2 linked regions of the Coturnix japonica genome follow. The protein of the gene in region 2 purifies or fractionates together with the protein of the main gene of each other region. This does not show direct contact. Links are inferred from orthologs where the notes say so. Each region holds a gene or a part of one and is shown on either strand. Other genes may lie near its edges.

The links.
Region 1: the proteins of SKIL (region 2) and SMAD2 purify together in Homo sapiens (affinity purification with western blotting; 8 studies listed by BioGRID and IntAct, with this or other methods). This does not show direct contact. The link is inferred for Coturnix japonica from reciprocal best matches to the Homo sapiens genes SKIL and SMAD2.

The regions. Positions count from the first base shown.
Region 1 is NC_029547.1:1,312,910-1,317,356, reverse strand, and holds the start of SMAD2 (mothers against decapentaplegic homolog 2), read right to left. Parts: upstream 3,074-4,447; 5' UTR 2,991-3,073; intron 1-2,990. UniProt on the Homo sapiens protein: Receptor-regulated SMAD (R-SMAD) that is an intracellular signal transducer and transcriptional modulator activated by TGF-beta (transforming growth factor) and activin type 1 receptor kinases.
Region 2 is NC_029524.1:17,520,730-17,525,113, forward strand, and holds the start of SKIL (ski-like protein), read right to left. Parts: upstream 2,984-4,384; 5' UTR 2,243-2,983; intron 1,226-2,242; exon of another isoform or gene 1,054-1,225; intron 276-1,053; 5' UTR 1-275. UniProt on the Homo sapiens protein: May have regulatory role in cell division or differentiation in response to extracellular signals.

The sequences.
Region 1 (4,447 bases), on a different chromosome or scaffold from region 2:
AAGTTCATTATGCTCAAGCATCGCAGAGGATCTCGAAACTTTGCCTAACAACATTTTCCTCTGTACAGCTCATTGAGGAGAGAATTATCTATCTACTCTGAACACAGACATTTTTCCTCTCACTCATTTCATGAAGTCTGATTATGAAACAAATGAGAAAACCCGCATTTCTTATATGGAGAACCAAAATAAGCACCAACATGATGGTCAACTTCAGAAGTTTAATTTTTCTCCAGTTACTAAGTAGTACTGAAAACTACAGACAAATTAATAAAATTATTGTTATAAGAAAATTAACAGATTGAAAGCAACACATCACCCTGTGACACTAAATTGCATGCAACCAGAAATATGAGAAAGAAGCAAAGATGTTAATTTTACTGACCTCTGATTGGAATAATTATAAGAGCAATATATCTTAGCAATTCTCTTGGAAGCCAGAAAAAGGTACCATGGCTGCAGGCAGCCAATTCACCTGTCGGCAAAGCAGCACGCTTTTCCCACATACTTAGTATTTATGAACTCAAGAGCATTGCTCCTTAATACTGAAAGACCTCAGCAGAGCCACAAAAGCACCAAATGAGCATTCCAAACCACAGCAGTTTAAGCTCTTCTCACCTAATTTGTTTTGATTAAAACTTTCCATGGGTAACAGGCAAGAGTCAGTTCCATTAGGTTAGAAAGGAAATGCTCCTGGGTAAATCTGAAAGGAGCAGTCCCAGAACTGATTAGCAGGTACTTGGGGGCCTGTTTCAGCTCCTATCTGCATAACTTTACAGTTTCCCAACTTCGTTAAACTCTCCTTCCTCCACCACCAGCAGAGCTTGAAGAGTGTCTTCCATTAAGCTCATCTTCCTCCGGCTTAATTAAATCAAGCTCAAGCCCCAGACTACACCGACAGCAAACCAGGAGCTGCTCTCTCACAGTCTCTTCTTGGTCTCCCTTCGCACTCTGGCTGTCAAACACACTTAATCACAACAAAAAGTCATCTGGAACGAAGTCTTCCTTTCTGTAATCCAGCAGCACTGCAGGAAGTTGAAAGCAACGTTTAGCAAGATTTTCTGCCATCTCCAATTTCTTCTAGCCCAGAGAGTAACTGAGCACAACGCTGCCTGCACTCTCCATTCCATTACAAAAAACTAATCCCATCGCATGACCTGCAGCAATTCAGTTTAACAAATCCACAATTACAAATATTTTGGCAAAGTAAGCTTAGGTATTGTTTGCCTCTCGGCACAGCTCACAACCAGTTTGTGGCTTTATGATAAAAGTCATTAAATCCAATCTGAAAAGCAGAATTTACAGCTCACTTAGCAAGTCAGGCCCATAAATGGCTGCTTTCAATTACAAGGCATTTACATGCACAGTCGTTAAGGCAGAGTTGAGTACATTTGAAAAATCTAGGATACTTTTTATAATAATTAAAACTCTGTGTGCTGCTCTTACAGAAAGAAAATTTGGGAGTTTTCTTCGGTCTCCACCAGAATCATATTCTTTGTTAGCCAAAACGCACTACACCAAGCCTGTTCTGCCAGAACGTTTGTGGGAAAGAGATTAGACAGATGGAGACAAGTTTTGTCTCTTAAATCTGCGCTCCGCAGCGGAGATTTCTGAGCTCCAATAAACTCAATTACATCAACCAGCGCTCAACGCTTCTAAAAGATCAAGTGGAGCAGGAAGGTGGAGGAGCTCCCAGCAGGGCCTTTCATTTAGAGATACACTGTGATACAATTGATACACTGTGATTTTGCTCATGCCCCTTGTTTCTAAGGGTGACTGCCAAATCCTGAACCACGCAATTACAGATCAGTTATTAAACACCCCCAAGTTACTGTTAAAAGTGATCCGAAGTTTGAGCCACTCTTACTGCAATCCTCCCCCACTCCTCTTTTAGAGGCACTGATAACCAGTGCTGTCTTTCACCAAGACAGTGCTAAGCAAATGGAGCCAGGCAGGGAGAAGGAAATGTAAACTTCAAGCCTTTATTGATATTCTCATTCCCCTGTAATTCACTGGAGCTTGTGAACACTGAAGTTTCAAAGCCACCCCTCAGAACAAACAATAAAGCTACTCATGTACGCAACCACAGCTCCCACACTGTGATAACACTTCCTAGAGTCTAAACAGCAACTGCGTTCCGTTAGAGACACCTTTCGACTTAACAACAGGAGGTTCTTCCAGTCTGGAGGACAGATAAAAGACTGATCAGCCTGACCACAGACTCCATGATGCCATGAATCAACCTGAAAGCGGCAGCTCTCAAGGCTACGAGTGGAACACTTATAGACAGACCAACCCGCTGTTAGTGGGCTCCTCATACGGTGTCATTACTAACTTATGGATGCAGATGGAAGTTGCTCATCCGTGACCACAAGAAGAATTTTCAGATTTTTTTATTTTTTTTTCTGCAGTGGATGCAGCAAAAAGAACTTTTCCCTAAAACCACCCATTCAACATGAAGGGATTTAAAGGCAGAACACACATGGCTTCTTTAAGATTACGACGTCCCACCAACAAGACACAAAACTGAGCTGCATCCTACTGAACCCTGTCGGATATCACAAGAGCTTCTCCCCCACCTTTTGTTCCCTTACCTCCCCATGGTTAAATCCTGCACTGAGGCCCCTCCAATAAGAAAACAACACACAAACAACACAGCGAGGACCAGCTGCTCCATCACAGCGCAGTGCATTAGCTATGGGGGGTGTGACGTTAAATGGATCTGTGTGTACAGCCCCTATCTGCATTGAGGCCCCGGTCCGGTTCGTGTGGTACCGCCCGGACCCACTATTGGATCCCCCCATTCTCCTCCCCCCCCCCGAGCTCGGCCGCGTCCCCACCACAACAAAGGGTGAGGAGGCCCCATGGCCTACCCAGCCGGTAGCAGGCCCGCCCCACCTCCCTTCACCCCCCCCGGCCCTCCTGCCTTTCCCCTTGCCTCCCGCTGCCCCTCAGAGCCGGCCCAGTCTATCTATGGGTCCCACACCGACCTCCCGTCCCGGAGCTCCGCCGACACCTCCTCCTCCCTCCTCAGCGCTGCGCACTGTGAGCCCGCCTTCCCCGTGCTCGTTGGTCACTGCCAACGGAGGTGGGAGGGGAGGATTTCTATTGGTTGATTCGCTTGTCAATTAAAAAATGAAGAGATGACATTGGCTTTGCGCATCCTACGCAGATGATTGGCGGGTTGTGCAGCCAATGGGATGACGGCTAGGGAAAAAAAAAAGAAAAAGGAGAGGAGCGCTGGAGCCGGGTGGGCGGGCTCACCAAAAGCAGCGCTTCTCATTGGCTAATCCAGCTGTCACTCTCCGACCGGCGCGACGGCTGGGGGCGGTTGAGCCTGAGAAGGGGCAGAGTTTGTGTGTCGCGTAGTGCGCATGCGTACAGCTGTGTCTGTGGTGTTAATGGGGTGAGGCGTTCAGTTGGATGGGGGTAATGGGGGGTGAGGGCCCGTCCCTTCAGAGCCCCTCCAGGACCCCATTAGACCCCAGCCAAAGCCCCCCCAGAGACCCTCAGTACCCCTCAGCCCCAGAGTCTCCTCAGAGCCTTCCCCATGGTTGATCCCTAACATCCTTTAGCCACTTTGCAGATGCCTTCTCCTCATAGCATCCCTATTCATTTGGGTTGGAATAGGTAAAATAACCCTGTTCATTTGGGTTGGAATAGGTAAAACAAGCCTCGTTTCTTTAGGAGGGGAAAAAGCAAAAGAAGCAGACGGCATCAGGGCCCTGAAGCTGCCTGAGAAGCATGGTGGCTATGGAGGAGCCAGGTAAGGTGTCTATATTGTCATCTATAACTTCAGCTGCCCTAGAAAGCTCTTCCATCCATCCACATACCTTCACCCTCAGGTTCTGTGCCTCCTCTGTTACCTTGTGTTGAAGCTGGGTGTTGCTAGATGGTAAGTCAATGCAGTGCTGCTCAGCACATCAATGTGGTACAGGTGGATGGCAGTCCCGTTGGTGTATGAACCTGCAGTGAGAAGAGCATCAGCATCTCAAGGAAGGGCTCTGGGGGTTCTCCCAGGGATCAACACCTTCCAGAATGACGTTCTCATGGTTATTTCCCAGCCACTGTTTCACCTGTCGGGCTGGAAAGAACAAAGGGAGTAACCTGTGATCTAAAGACAACATGATGAAATGGTGATTGGCTGCGCTGTGTGTTGACTTCCCAAAGGCTGTGAGCAAATCCCCGAAGAGATAAAAGGAAAAAAAAAGCGATATCAGATAAGTTGAAAGACACCTGGGATTTCTAAATGACTGGACACTATCAGATATCACCGTGATGATGAAGACAAGCACCAAGTGCATTGCCAGGAAGGCAGGGCCTTGGAGACAGGGCAGATAGTTTGTGCTTTGAGTTCATTCTTAGCAGTGTGTCAGAATTATCTGTTCTATGGAAAATAACAAAAGAGAGAGATCCAAACAGTTTGGGTACAAAAGGATCAGCCAGC
Region 2 (4,384 bases):
AGAAACGCTCTCAGCTCCGTAGGATCCCAACCGTACCTGGAGCCACACGGAAATCCCGCCCGGCACTTTCAGTTCCTGGAGATGGAGCCGATCTTTGGGGCCTGCTTTATTGCGCTGCCAACTCCGTGATTTCAGCAGCTCGCAGACCAACCCGAGCCGAGCGCCGGGCGTCCCCACGGAGTCACCTTTGGCACAGATGTCAGCGCGGCGTGTCTCAATTCTCCCACCCTCAGCCCGAGTCTGCAGGCTGGATTCCTGCTGTCAGTCCGCGCAGCCTGCGAACAGCGAACGGGGTCACAGCAAGCCACGAGATTGGGGTATGGGGAGCAGGGTATGGCGTGCAGGGTACAGGGAGCAGGGTATGGGGAGCAGGGGGTATGGGGTGCAGGGTATGGGGAGCAGGGTACAGGGAGCAGGGTATGGGGAGCAGGGGGTATGGGGTGCAGGGTATGGGGTGCCGGGTATGGGGAGCCGGGTATGGGGAGCAGGGTATGGGGAGCAGGGTATGGGGAGCTGAGTATGGGGTGCAGGGTATGGGGAGCAGGGTATTTGGAGCAGGGTATGGGGTGCCGGGTATGGGGTGCAGGGTATATGGGGTGCAGGGTATATGGGGTGCAGGGTATGGGGAGCAGGGTATATGGGGTGCCGGGTATATGGGGCGCAGGGTATGGGGAGCAGGGGGTATGGTTTGCAGGGTATATGGGGTGCAGGGTATATGGGGTGCAGGGTATATGGGGCGCAGGGTATATGGGGTGCAGGGCATGTGCCCCCGGGGAGCGCCACGCGAAGCCCCGCCCGCCCCGTCCCGCCGCCCCCCCCGCAGCCGTTCCCGGAAGGGCGCGGGACGCCGCTCCGTGACTCACCTCGGGGCTGTGCGGCTGCGGGCAGCGCTCCCCCCGCTCCTCCCACCCCCTCCCGGCTCCTTCTCTCCGTCTCTCCCTCGTTCCCTCACTCCCCGCCGCTCCCTTCCCCCCCCCCGTGCCCGGCGCTCCCCTCCCCCTGCCGCCGCCATCCCCTCCCTCGGGCGCTGTCTCCCCTCTCTCTCCCCCTCACCCCGTCTCTCCTCACTCGGTGCCGCGGAGGCTCCGGATCCCCGGGAGCGGAACAGGCTCCGCTCTCGCACCGCCCACCCGTGACCTCACTGCGGAGACGGCGGCGGCGGCGGCGGCGGCGGACACACACGGAGACGGCGGCGGAGACGGCGGCGGCGCGCGGGCACGAACCCGGCGGCGGCGCGCACCCCCCGCCGCCCTCAGCAGCCGGCGCCGCAGCTCCGCCCACTGTCTGGGGCAGCGGCGGGAGCGGCCGCCCTTCCCCCGCCGCTGAGCACAATAAATGGCGATGAGATGCAAGAAAGGACGGTAAAATGCGATACAGAGCGATATAACCACACGTAGCTACTCAAAGGGCACATCGGGGCCTCCGTTAGCAGGCTGTGCCTTTGGTGTTCGCATTTTATCGTGCTCAGGTGTTCAGGGGCACCTGAGCGACCCCCGGTGCTTCATATGGCTCAAACAATAACTCGCTGACGGTATAGAGAGGAAAATAGGGCTTAGAATAACTGTATAAACAGCCGTGCCTCAGCTTTTAACCATAACGTTGTGATCATAAAGACAATAACAGTTCTACTTATTTTTTAGAGCTTAGAGAAAAGCGTTCGACCTTTCTATTATTAAAGAATCGAGGTAGAGATGAAGGAATCGTAAATCTGAACTAGAGCATGACCTCAATCTTTATATTCAGTGCAAAGCACGGCTATAATGGGATGGTGGTTCTACTGCTGCCATGTTACAGGACCCTCCGGCAAACATGGGGCTTCTCCATTGAACAAAAGGGCATTGAAGGGAAACCTTAACTCTGTAACCTCCAAGTTACCTGGAATTAAGGCTGCTTTCTGGCCCTACTTAAAGGAGGCATTTCATATATTGCATATAGAAGACACAACTTCTCATGGCCTGAGGAAATAGAAAAGGGAAGGCATAAATCCCTTCCACCCCGTGTAGGCCAAAGGGAAGATAAATGCTTCCCCAAAACTGAAACCAGCATTTAATCACAGGGAAGAATAAAATCATTGGAGAAATTAATTTTCTTCCCTTTAATACCCCACTATTTGGCCTCTTCCATCCTCATTTGGTCGCTCTGTTTTTATTGTAAATCACTACAGATTGACTCAGCCCTTCCTTAGGGAGCATTTATCATAACAGCTATTACTGCTATAGGAAGTGCATTTTCCCTTACTTACATTTCCCCTACTGCTTTCTGGATCCTTTCGCCAGACGCAGCCTGCATCACTCGTAGCAGCAGAACCGCAGCTGAGCCCTTCAGTTGTGGATCCTTGTAAGGTGTAACAAACTGCAACAGCAGAAGGATCCTGCTTTTATTTCTGTTCCAAACAGTCACATCACTTGGAAACCTACAAAATGAACATTTAGGGCTGTCTTAAAATGTAACTCAGATACGTTTCTTGCTTACTATGTCACTGCTGAAGTCAGGATGTATGTTTAGCATTTTCCAAGGACATATAGATGGTCCTAACTTCTTTTATAGAGCATCTTTAACACAAACAATTGCTCAGACTGAGCAGAGAGCAGTTGGCCACCGAATTGAACAGAAACAAGAAGCGTGCGTGGGGGGAGGTCAAGCATTTAAGATATGCAACCATCTGTAGCGCTCGTCTAGGACTGCTGATACATCCTGTTAATAGCAAGCCAGGCTGCAAGAGGAAACGGCTTTTAAAATACAAATACACAGATCTTCAAATATAGATAGATTAAAATACTGCATCTGCAATGGGGGATGAGGTAAGTGCCCCTGCCCTCAGTTGAGACCTGAGAGAGAGTATGAAAGAAACAAATGGAGCTGTGCAAAGTAAATGCGATGGATGCGAACTGCTCTACAGCTGCAGTGACAGCACAGGAGCTCCAACTGAATGATACCCAACATGCTGCAATTGCCTTTCAATGTTTTCTGGTGGAGGTTGTTGTTGCACTCCCTCCCTGGATGCCTAACGGTCCGTCTGAAGGTCCCAAACAAATCCCAGTAGTGCTTTGTAGGAGTCGGCTTTGTTTCTTTTCGGATGAATACACGGCATTCTAATATAAATGTTTTATTTAAGGTAAAAATTGTGCACAAATAAAGAGAATGATTACACAACAATGTTCAAGACCATATTCCATACGAAACAAGAAAGTAGCAGAGACGATATGAACGAGCAGAGCACCCCTAAGAATCTGGCATACAAAGGGTCAGCTCCACACAAATACACCTTCAAAATTCAAAGCCTACACAACTGTTTACACGCCACATCCCTTCTGAATACTTACAAAAGCTGCTATTAGGCTCCACGATAAAAAATAACTTAATATCATGGCACTTAGGAGAAAATTAAACAATGGACTTACAGTCATTAAGGATATTTATCTCAGTGGCAACAGTTAGATGTGTGAATAGAAAAAGTATATTTTCTGTGACGTTATCTATAAAAAGTTCTGCTTGGAGCACAACACAGTGCTCTTCTGAGCAGCAGAAATGCCCTTCCCTACGTAACACTATTTTGCTTGATATTGTATATGAAATTAAGGAACTGTACAGAGAAGGCTTTTCTTGCTTGAAGTAACTTCAAAGTTTACTACCAATTAAATTCCAATGTCTTAACGAGTCACATGAGTGTCAAGCACTTAAATTTATAGCTGGATGCAAGCAGTTTCACTTCATATGAAATAACAGTGTTGAAGTTATTAGCTGCTCTTTAAAAGTAGATTGACTTTTTACATTGGAAGGTGTAAGAGAACCCAGGTGTAAGGAACTCTCAGGTGTAAGGCTAAGAGAACCCAACTTTCAACAGTGTAGAAGTTCAATGCTTCCCTGGAATGGAAGTCCCTCCAATTAATTCCCAGTATCTTGGTTCCTACTCACGCTGCAAAGTGAAGTCCATGCTAAGTACCACACTGTGAGCTACTGTGCTTGTGCAGTCTCTCCCCTTGAAGCTAACACATAAGTGGAAAAAAAACATACACTGGAAGATTCATGCTGCAAATTTACAGCTTTACCACACGAGGATTTTCACAGAGATACTGACTGTACAGAAAGCTCACTAAAAGCTTCAGATAAGGTTTGCTAACTTGTGTTTACAGACATCTGAATCTGCTTTAAGTAACACCAAGTTGCCTCACAGCTCTTATTCATATAAATACAGGTTCTTTTCTTCGATGTCTCTTAATCCCTTTTCTCCAGAAATAAAAATAAAGAAGTGGTACATTTGGCATTTCTTCAGCCTAAGACATTCAAAGCTACTTCCCAAATATTAAAAATAAGAGTTAGCTGTGCTGTACATTACATTGTTTGCTAACATGAAATGTAATCATTATTACCTCCCAAAAGTCCC